Linked DNA regions of Macaca fascicularis. The protein of the gene in region 3 binds, or shares a complex with, the protein of the main gene of each other region. Links are inferred from orthologs where the notes say so. Each region holds a gene or a part of one and is shown on either strand. Other genes may lie near its edges.

Region 1 (3,740 bases), on a different chromosome or scaffold from region 3:
TTTTCTTTTTTTTTTTTTTTTTGAGACCCAGGCTCGCTCTGTCACCCAGGCTGGAGTGCAGTGGTGTGATCTGGGCTCACTGCAATCTCTGCCTGCCAGGTTCAAGTGATTCTCCTGCCTCAGTCTCCTGAGTACCTGGGACTACAGGCACATGCCACCACACTTGGCTAATTTTTTGTATTTTTAGTGGTGATGGAGTTTCACCACGTTGTCCAGGCTACTCTGGAACTCCTGACCTCAGGGGATCCGCCTGCCTTGGCCTCCCAAAGTGCTGGAATTACAGGCGTGAGCCACCAGGCTCGGCCATATTTTGCTATTTTCTACATGGATTACATGTTGCAATGGTAATGTTTGGACTATTGTGGGTTAAATAGAATATATGATTAAAGTGAATTCATCTATTTCTTTTAACTTTAAAACATATGTCTGTTAGAGGATTTGAAATTCCACATGCGGCTTGCATTTGTGCCCTGCATTTTATTTCTGTTGGACGGTGCTCTTTGGGACGTGCTTTGAAGGTGGAGTCAACAGGATTTGACAGATTACAGAGGAGAGACTTCGAGGGTGATTCCACGACTTCGGGGCTGAGCACCTGGAAGAATGGGGTTAATATTAGCCAAGATGAGGAAGGCTGTTGGTTTGGCAGGTGCGTGGGCAGGTTAGGAGTTTAGTTTTGAATATGTTGGAGGTGTTTATGAAACTTTTAAGTGGAAATGGAAACTAGGCAGTTGGATGCGTAAGTCCAGGGTTCAGGGGGACAGTTCAGGCTGGAGATGAAGATGTGGGAGTCTGAGCAGAGATTGTATTCAAATATTCAATCCATGAGACTTGATGAAATCACTTCTCTTCCAAATGGTGTACAGCCTACAGAATCATTTTCCCTATCTTTGTAGGTTTATGTCTTCATGTTGTTTCATTTATTTTTCAGTTATTCACTGTTTCAGTGAGTTTTGGGTAGGAGCCAGATTGGATGCGTGTGTTCAATTCACCATCCAACACTATTAACGACTTGAAACTTCTGTGGTTGTTCAGTTGCTTTTCTGACCTTTTATTCTGGACAGAAGAGAGATGCTTATGAAGTTGTAGTAATCAGTAAGCCTTCCCACACTGCTCCATCAGCCTTCCTGGAGGAACAATGTCTTCTGTCTTTCCCGTAGGCAAGAAGGCTGCTCGATCTTGCCACAGTGAAAGCGAATGGATTGGCCGCCTTCCTTCTACAACATGTTCAGGAATTACCAGTCCCGTTGGCCCTGCCTTTGGAAGGTAGGTATATGTTCTCAGTTAATCAGAAAGGGAAGGGCAGTCAGTGCAGATCCATGGTTAAGAGTAGAACACACCTCGGTTAGCGTCCCATATGCTGGCAGTGTAGCCTCCATGTGACTCAGTTTCCTTGTTTTAAGGCTACCACCACCCCCTATCTCATTGCAATTTTAGGAGGATTAAAAGGACAAAAGCGTGTGATGTTAGCTATTAGCTTTCATTATCTCCCACACAGTACACTGACAATTGGAGCTACCATATGCTGAAGGCTAACTAAAGGTGTTACTTACCATCCAAACTCTCGTTATCTGTACCAAAAAGATACGGACACGCGTTTTGAGTTAGGGCTGGTACCTCTTGATCTCTGAAATTTAGCAGCTCACAATCGGAAACTCAAGAACCAAGTGGATCTAGAGACTCTGGTATCCCTCAGTGCCCAGGGTCACCACCCAAACTCAGGAACAGGAGGAGCTTGGACAGCACCTCTTGAACATACCAGGCATCCTGCCGGGTGCTTTATGGACAATGTCTACCCTTTGCAACAACCCTGAGAAGTAGGTGGTGGTTTTTTCACCTTATAGATGTGGAAACTGGGCAGGGAGGTTAAGTGACAAGGGAGGGGGAGATGGGTCTGATTGTAAATTGTCCCCACCTACACTTTCTCTTTTCTTGGGAGAAGAAATGTCAGTTGTAAAGAGAGGGTGCAAAAGTCTGGCACTCTTTAGGGCTTGTTCCTATACCACTGTAGGGAAAGCTCATTGGCACTGAAGCTCCCTGAGCTGTGCGTGGTGCTGGCAGTTGGGTCTATCACCCTGGGCCCTGCCCTGTGGGCAGCAAGCAAACCTGTGGGAGGGGTGGCTGTAAGTCTGTGCCTGGCACTCGCGAGTGCACTGTCTCGTCAAAGAACGGGATCTAAACATCAGTGCACCACAGGGGGGTTGAGCAGCATGGAGCGCGGGGCCTGGTTTGGCCCTTGGTTGAGGTTTGCCGTTGATATCATCAAGCACAGCTGGTCACTGTAAGACCAGGCCAGGGTGCAGGATTCCCCACACTTCTAAAGGTGTGTTTATTTCTCTATAAAATGACATTTTCTTTTTTTCCGGAGAATTTTAGTATCATTGGTGATGGCTGGAAAGCCTGCATTGGAAATCAGGTCGGAAGAGGAAGATATATATCTGATATGTATTGGAGAGGAAGATATTTACCTTATGGTCTAAGTTCAGGGATCCTGGTGTATTCAGAGGGCAGAAAGCTCAGCAATAATCATCAACTCTGGGAACAACAGAGGTGACGTAAACACAGGGCGTCCCCTTTGTGTGACTGCAGATAGTCGTCAGTGAGCTCAGAGCTCTCTGAAAATTACTTGTTAGTTTTTGGGTTGAAAATAAGTGGGCCAGTGTTTGGTTGGGGGCAGTGAGGCTGTGATGGCGGGGGACCGTGCTGAGTTCCTACCAGCCGGGGACTCTAAACCAGCACTTCCCCGTTTCCTGAAAGGGGAACTAAACCCTGACACAGGAAATGGCTCGCTCGCATTGCTTTCAGGATGAGAAAGGAAGAGCAGTAGCCTTCCAAACACACCCTGTGCATGAAAACTCTCCCTGCATGGGGTGCATGGGGAGGATGAGGAAGTGGAGGCAGGATCACAGACTCTCATTCTAGTGCTCAGCTGGGGCACCCTGGTGACCCCGAGGCCTTCTATTGCTAGGCCCACCCAGATCAATCAGGCTCATCTCCCCATCTCGAAGTTTAACTTTATCACATCTGCAGAGTTCCTTTTGCCACATAAGGTAACATATTCACAGGTTCTGAGGATCGGGACACGGACATCTTCGAGGGTCTATTGTTGTGCCTACTATAGCCATGAATAATAATGATAATAAGCACCATTTTTTGAGAGTTTGCCATGTCAGATATTCTTTTAAACTCTATTTTATCTCACTGCCTCCTGAAACAATCCTTCCAGGTGTATATTGTCCCCATTTTTACAGATGAGAGAACTGAGGCCCAGAAAGGCTAAATGGCTTGCCCAAGTGTGTGGTGGACGCAGGTTTTCACGCTCCGGTGTGTCAGACTTCAGAGACTGGGCTCCTGAGCCCTGAAGCCCTTTGTTCCCCTTAGAAAAAGTTAACTGAGAGTGAATGGTGAAGGGATTTATCCAAAGCCACCTGGCCATTATGGCAGGACAGATATCAGAATACAGGTCTTCTGATCCCAGCCTAGAGCCCCTTCCCATCATCTACAACTCCTCCTGGTGTGAGTAATGATAACGGCAGTCACTGATGTCTTTGGACTTACTTTGTGTTGAGCACTGTGCTGAGCACTTGACATACGTCATCTTAGTTGATCCGTGTAAAAAGTCTGTAAGGTAGAGATCAACATTTCTCCCACCTTACAGAGGTGGAAACTGACCGTTAGGAAGTTTCCTTGATTGTCCTCAAAGTCCACAGCTTGTGAATGGAGGAGCCAGGATGGGCGCTTGC
Region 2 (2,801 bases), on a different chromosome or scaffold from region 3:
ACCACCTGCCCCGGCAACCTCCCAGAACCTGAGTGCACCAGCAAGCAATTCACAGAGCCCTGAAGCCCCATAGTAGAGATGATGGCCACCACTGATTGAGTGCCTACCATGTGCCAGGCGCACAGCCTGCATTATTCCCTTCGGTCCTCATGGGTAACCCTAAAGACAGGCGGTACCCCTGTTTTCCAGAGGGGGAATCCGAGGCTGAAGAATGAAGAGACCTGGAAGAGATGAGGCATGTGGACAAATGGTCAGGCCCCAGGGCCTGTCTGTCCCTGGGCTGCACTGGAGCAGGGCAGGGAGAAGGACGTTTTGCTTTCTACCTATGTCATTCTTCAAGTTCTCAGGAGAAGAGGCGGCTGCTTTCTCCCGTGCTCCCCGCAGTGCTGCTCAGCACTAAGACCTTCGGTTCCCGAGGGCTGCATTTCTTTTTCTTTGTTTTAAACAAGCAAACCTTAGATAAAGCTCAGGCATCCACAGACAGATTTGTTCTCCCATGGACACCAGGGTTATTGAAGTTTCTTTGGCCGTTGTTATTGCAACCATATTTTTATTGGGTCAGCCTCAACTGGGAGCAAACTTATCCTCTGGATTAAAGCATCCGTGGGAAGCCAGGCAGTAACCCTTTCCTTGAGGCAACTTGAGCACCAGCAGGCTTTACTGCTAGCTTTATTGCTACAAGGAGTTCTCAGCCCAGCCTGGAAGAGTCTCTGCCAAGGGACACTCCTCCTGAACTGTCCCAAGGGGCAGGGGGCCGCTCTGGGCTTGGGGAGCCAGGCATGGCCACCACCTACACTCAGCCCTCAGGCACCACCCCATCAGGCCATGGGAGCAGCTTTGCCCCTGTTAACCCGGGTGTCTCCTCAGCCACTGCCTGAGGCCCCCACTCTCTTCCTCCCAAAGCTGCAGGGGGACGAGTGTACCCTGTGTCTGTGCCATACTCCAGTGCCCAGAGCACCAGCAAGACCAGCGTGACCCTCTCCCTTGTCATGCCCTCCCAGGGCCAGATGGTCAATGGGGCTCACAGCGCTTCCACCCTGGATGAAGCCACCCCGACCCTCACCAAGTAAGTCCCTCCCCCACTTAGCCACCCCGAGCCCTGTCCCCCCATGGGTGCCCTGTGGCACCGGGACAGAAATGACCATGGGGCCAAGGGTTGTGGATAAGATGCCCTGGGGTCTGGAAGTCCCCAGCTCCATGCCTGGTGAGGGAGGTCTCCCTAGAAACTGAGGCAGGTGGGGTTTTCGGTCAGGTGGCTGATGGTCCCAGCCTACTTCTCGTATTTTCTTGTGGGCCGGTCTGCTGGTTTCAGTCAGTGGAAGGTTCTCTTTTCATTCCCCACCTGGGTGTGATGTGGGGTGGCTTCCTGTGATATGGGGTGACTTCCCTTGGTGTCCTTGCTTGGGGACATTGGCCTGTACTGGCTTGTCAGAGCCCGTGCTTTCTGGCTAATGTGCTTAAGTTTAGCTTTGAAGTGAGTTCTGTGGTTTCTGGGCAGGGGGCGAGGTAGAGACAGCAGCCTGAGGGGGTTGCAGCTAGGCCCCGTCCAGCCGCAGACCTGCCTGAGTACACCCCACCCCCTTCCCTTCCGTAGAATGTGCACCCCCCACACCAGGGGACCCAGATCTGGTTTCCACATTCCAGCCCTGCATGGAATGATAGAGATGCCACACCCAGCCCACTCTGAGGATGGAGTGTGCAGGATGTGGCCAATTAGAAAGGCCCTGGAGTGGGGTGGGTGGCCTGTTTACCTCTGCCTCATCAGGGGGCCTTCCTTTCCCTCTGCCTGTGAGTCGTGGATGCTGCGACTACTGCCACAGGGCTAGAAAGGCCTGCCAGACCGAGCAAGCTCCGTGGGCTTCCTGAGTGCAGTAGGGGTGGCCTATCCAGTACCCCTGCCGGGCTGCTTGGAGGAGTCCTCCAGCTGTGTCCACAAAGCAGAGTGGGACTGCTGTGGCCCTAGACAAGGCAGGACAACCCGCCCTCCTCCGCTGCCTATGTTCCTCACTCCCTTCAGCGTCTGAGCCATGGTAGTTGGTCCCACCATGGGCTAGCCCTCTGCTGGTGCTGGGCAGCGCTAACAGGCAGTTCCAGCTGTGACTTAAAGTGGGTGCCTGTCCCCACCCAGCTGATGAGAAGAGAGTGAAGGGGAGGGGGCGAAGGAAGGTTTTCTAGAAGACACCTTGCCCGCCCTGCTGAGTAGGGCCTGGGTTGGGAAGGGTTTAGAGAGATGGTAATGGACAGTCGGTGGCTCAGCTGCACCTGGGGAACTTCCTGTGATGGCGGGAGTGCTCGCATGGGTGCTGTCCTGTCACCGCGTCTCCAGCACTTGTGGCTATTAGACACTTGAACTGAGTGTTCCATTTTCTTTTTTTTTTTTTTTTTCTTTGAGACAGAGTTTCACTCTTGTTGCCCAGGGCGGAGTGCAATGGCAAAATCTTGGCCCACTGCAACCTCTGCCTCCCAGGTTCAAGCAATTCTCCTGCCTCAGCCTCCCAAGCAGCTGGGATTACAGGTGCGTGCCACCACGCACAGCTAAATCTTTTTCTATTTTTAGTAGAGATGGGGTTTCACCGTGTTGGCCAGGCTGGCCTCGAACTCCTAACCTCAGGTGATCCACCCTGCCTTGGCCTCCCAAAGTGCTGGGATTACAGGCATGAGCCACTGCGCCTGGCCCATTTTCTTTACCTTTAGTTCATTTAAGTAGCCACATGCAGCTGGTGCTTCAAAACTTGACTTTTTATCTCTTCCTAAGAGCATCTGGCTGGGCCAGCTCTTATGGTTGCCTCTGCCAGAAAGGC
Region 3 (3,740 bases):
GTGTCTACCATTAAACAGCACTGTCCACTGCCCTCTTCTAGAGTCAGGGAATGAGGCTCAGGCAAAGCAGCTTTCAGGGACCATCTGAAGCACACATCAGTCCTCCCCTTCAAAGAATATAGTCAGCCAGGCATGGTGGCTCACATCTGAATCCCAGCACTTTTGGAAGTTGAGGTGGGCAGATTGCATGAGCCCAGGAGACAAAGATTAGTAGATGGTGAGACCCTGTCTCTACAAATAATTCTTTAAAAAATTAGCCAGGCATGGGGATGCATGCCTGTAGTCCTAGCTATGTGGGAGGCTGAGGCAGGAGGATCACTGGAGCCCAGGAGTTTAAGCCTGCAGTGAGCCATGACTGTGCCACTGTACTCTAGCCTGGGTAACAGACTGAGACCCTGACACTACCAAAAAAAATAATAACAATAATAATAATAATAATAATAAAGCAATTGCATTTTTAGCCAAGGCAACACATATCTTCAACTGCCACCATCACTTCCCTCTGCCAAGGATCTTGAAGGCATATGAAGCCATTTCTTTAAGTTTAGGTAGCAAATAAGCTCCACAAAGAGGAGAGGATAGTTACACCTCTAAGGGGCAGAGAAAGAATAAGGGAGGGGAAAAGTTCATGTGTGTGGAAGATGACAGGATCTGTAGCAACGGCAGCTACTGACAGAGCAGAGCACCCTGCAGGGAGTTCCTGGGTGGGTCCTCTAAACACCCACCTGTACTTCAGTGGTTTTTGTCCTCCACTCAGGGACACCATGAATCCACAGCAGTTGTGAACAAGCTACAGCTTTCTTCTGTATCTGCTTCTTCCTGCCTCTCCAATCCTTTATCTCAACATTCCTATTACTTTCTCTCCTTTCTCCACTGTACCTGCCCATTCCCCCGACCCCAAGGTCTGTGATCATTTAAACATATAAGCATCTCATGTAATTAAAAAAAAATCTGACAACACAAATAGATAATAAAAGCCATATTTATCACCTTCCAAGATTCAACTAATGGTACGTTATTTGGTCAAAAGGAGAAACTCTTCTTCATATCCCCAATTTATATCATAACCAATTCAATATCCATGAGGTGAGGATATTGTCAACTTACCCAGGGGATTGGCACCAATAAATACATTCGCAAAGTTCATCTTCGGCATCTGCGTCAAAGACTGAATATAGTTTCTTGCCTGAAAAAACAAGGGTTTTCAGAATTACTTTGTTCAATAATGTTACTTCTCTCAAAGAAAGAACCTTGGTCCTGCTAAGGAACGAGTGTTAACTGACAAAGTCCACTAACTCCAATGTTTATAACTGTCTTTGATAAAACTTCTCCCTTACTGCTATCCTAACTTCCTAGTTATGATCATCACCTTCTTTATTCCTGCTATCTCTCACAGTTGCATTTCAAGTGAACGAGAATACTCATCAATCAAATTCTCTTTCATCAGCTTTCTGATCACAGGATGAGAAGTTTAAAAACTGAGGCCGAGATATGTAAGAAGTAGCCCTTTCTGAGACAGCCTTCTCAAAAAGCTAAAATTGTTAGAAGGGTTGGTATTCCCAAAGTAAGTCTTGGACCAGCAGTCTTTTGATAGTGCTGACTTCAGCAGGTGCTCTTAGCACATCAAAGGACATCAATATTAAACCTTGCTAACAAAGTAACACTGGTAACAAAAAAGTTAATATAAACTTAATATAACAGTCCTACCTCACAGGGTTGGAGTGAAGATTAGAGATAACAAACCTAGTACTTTCTTAACACAGTACTTGGTTCCAAGTGAGAGTTCAAGAAACATTATCTGCTATCCCACTATCACCTTCAGAGAAAAGCAAAGTCTGCTGTCTATCTTAACCACCTTTTTAAAATTTCTGTTTTAATACAGTCCAACAGTAAAGGTATGTATGTATATTTATGTTTACACATACACACACAAGGTTGTAAAAAGTTCTGGTTGCCCAGACACGGTGACTCACGCCTGTAATCCCAGCACTTTGGGAGGCCAAGGAGGGCAGATCACTTGAGCCCAGGGCTTTGAGACCAGCCTGGGTAACATGGTGAAAACTTGTCTCTAAAAACACAAAAAATTAGCCAGGCATGGTGATGCATGCCTGTGGTCCCAGCTACTTGGGAGGCTGAGGTAAGAGGATCACTTGAGCAGGGAGATGGAGCCCAGGAAGCTTGAGCACAGGAGGTGGAGGTTCCAGTGAGCTAAGATTGTGCCACTGCACTCCAGCTGGGGTGACAGAGTGAGATCCTATCTTAAAACAAAACAAAAACAAAAACAAAATCTGGTTGCTTGGGCAAGTTCACCTTATTTATTAAAAAATTTTTTTTAGAGACACAGTCTCTGTTCTGTTGCCTACGCTGGAGATCACTGGCACAATCACAGCTCACTATAGCCTCAAACTTCTGACTCCAGCAACCCTCCTGCCTCAGCTTCCCAAGTAGCTGAGACTGCAGGCGTGTGCTATCATGCCGTAATTTTTAAATTTTTTTGTAGACCTGCAGTATTGCTGTGTTGCCCAGGATGGTCTCAAACTCCTGGGCTCAACTGATCCTACCATCTCAGCTTCCAAAGTGCTGAGAATTGCAGATGCACGCCACCACGCCCAGCCTTCACCTTCTTAATGATTGCATGTGGAGTCAGGAGGAAAGGTCTGCTTTGAAAAGCAACTGAGAATCTTTCTGATTTGAAAAGAAAGTTGTAGGAATTGAATATATAAATGGCTGTAATCCCTTTCTACTTGAACATGTAAATAAAAAGATGAAGGGAAAACAGGTAAGAGACAATTATCTCATTCAGAGAACAGTCATCCCTTTAATAAAGATAAATCAACAGATGACCTGAATATAGCCGAAGTAGAAACAAAGTTGCTGGGAGGGGCTCTCTGTGATGCCAACCCGGTTCCCTAAAATATTAAGGGTATCTTAGAAAGAAAGAAGTGCCCCAATGACCTCTGATAATAAAACAAGAGTTAGACTAAGTAGTTAAGAATAAAGAAGGTACCTAACTGTACCAAAGTGTTTGTATTTATTTTATATTATTTGTGTATTTTCTTTTAAATATAGTATGTATTAGTACTGGATATTTCAGTTTTGTTTTGTTTTGTTTTTAAATAAAGAATTCTCTTTTGGTCATTAAAAAAGTGGATGAATTAGAAAGCATGCTAATGGACTTCAGTTAACTACCCTTCTGATAAAGGTCATGATAGTAGCACACCCTAGCTACAGGCATAGCACCTAGAAAGAAACCGCCTCACGAGCACTAAATTCACAAAACCAAATATAAAAATAACAATTTTCCATCCCCAATCTCACAAGACTGGATGACATTTTATCCCAAAAGTCAACATCCTGCAATAGCACATAGGCAGGCCTCCAGGCACATGCAAGCATCCAGTGATGTTAAAAACTGTTGGTTATACAGTGGCAATAAAATGAGAACGTGGCTTCTCAGTGCGACATCCCTGTACAGTCTCTTTGTTCTCACCTCATGGCTTGGCATCCTGTTAATGAGATAAGCGGGGGGTGTTCCCGTCAGACGCATAATCTGCTGAAGCTGGTTAATATCTTAGATGCCTAGTCAAGGGCATTGTTAAACATACAGTGCAAAAAATAATTTTCAACTCAAGTTTTTAAAAAGGTCAAAAAGCCACCCCTAAACAAACAAAAAAACCTACCCCCCATTCACCCTACCCGAGGACCCAAGGCTGCATGTTAAAGCTTCTGTGAATGACATG

Evidence for each region. The genes of interacting proteins can lie anywhere in the genome.
Region 1: MAPK14 (region 3) and NOD2 share a complex: the UniProt entries of both Homo sapiens proteins name them as parts of the signaling complex. The link is inferred for Macaca fascicularis from reciprocal best matches to the Homo sapiens genes MAPK14 and NOD2.
Region 2: the proteins of MAPK14 (region 3) and TAB1 are in contact, whole or in part, in a crystal structure (PDB 4LOP), measured with the Mus musculus proteins. The link is inferred for Macaca fascicularis from reciprocal best matches to the Homo sapiens genes MAPK14 and TAB1. Residues at the interface, in NP_036081.1 of Mus musculus: Gly110, Ala111, Asn115, Ile116, Cys119, Gln120, Lys121, Leu122, Thr123, Asp124, Asp125, His126, Phe129, Val158, Asn159, Glu160, Asp161, Cys162, Leu217, Thr218, Gly219, Arg220, Thr221, Leu222, Asn272, Val273, Phe274, Ile275, Gly276, Ala277; in NP_079885.2 of Mus musculus: Val385, Tyr386, Pro387, Val388, Ser389, Val390, Pro391, Tyr392, Leu405, Ser406, Leu407, Val408, Met409, Pro410.

Annotation. Positions count from the first base shown.
Region 1 is NC_088394.1:46,666,382-46,670,121, forward strand, and holds part of NOD2 (nucleotide-binding oligomerization domain-containing protein 2), read left to right. Parts: intron 1-1,157; coding exon 1,158-1,263; intron 1,264-3,740. UniProt on the Homo sapiens protein: Pattern recognition receptor (PRR) that detects bacterial peptidoglycan fragments and other danger signals and plays an important role in gastrointestinal immunity.
Region 2 is NC_088384.1:12,226,438-12,229,238, reverse strand, and holds part of TAB1 (TGF-beta-activated kinase 1 and MAP3K7-binding protein 1), read left to right. Parts: intron 1-903; coding exon 904-1,066; intron 1,067-2,801. UniProt on the Homo sapiens protein: Key adapter protein that plays an essential role in JNK and NF-kappa-B activation and proinflammatory cytokines production in response to stimulation with TLRs and cytokines.
Region 3 is NC_088378.1:135,569,730-135,573,469, forward strand, and holds part of MAPK14 (mitogen-activated protein kinase 14), read right to left. Parts: intron 3,571-3,740; coding exon 3,491-3,570; intron 1,187-3,490; coding exon 1,108-1,186; intron 1-1,107. UniProt on the Homo sapiens protein: Serine/threonine kinase which acts as an essential component of the MAP kinase signal transduction pathway.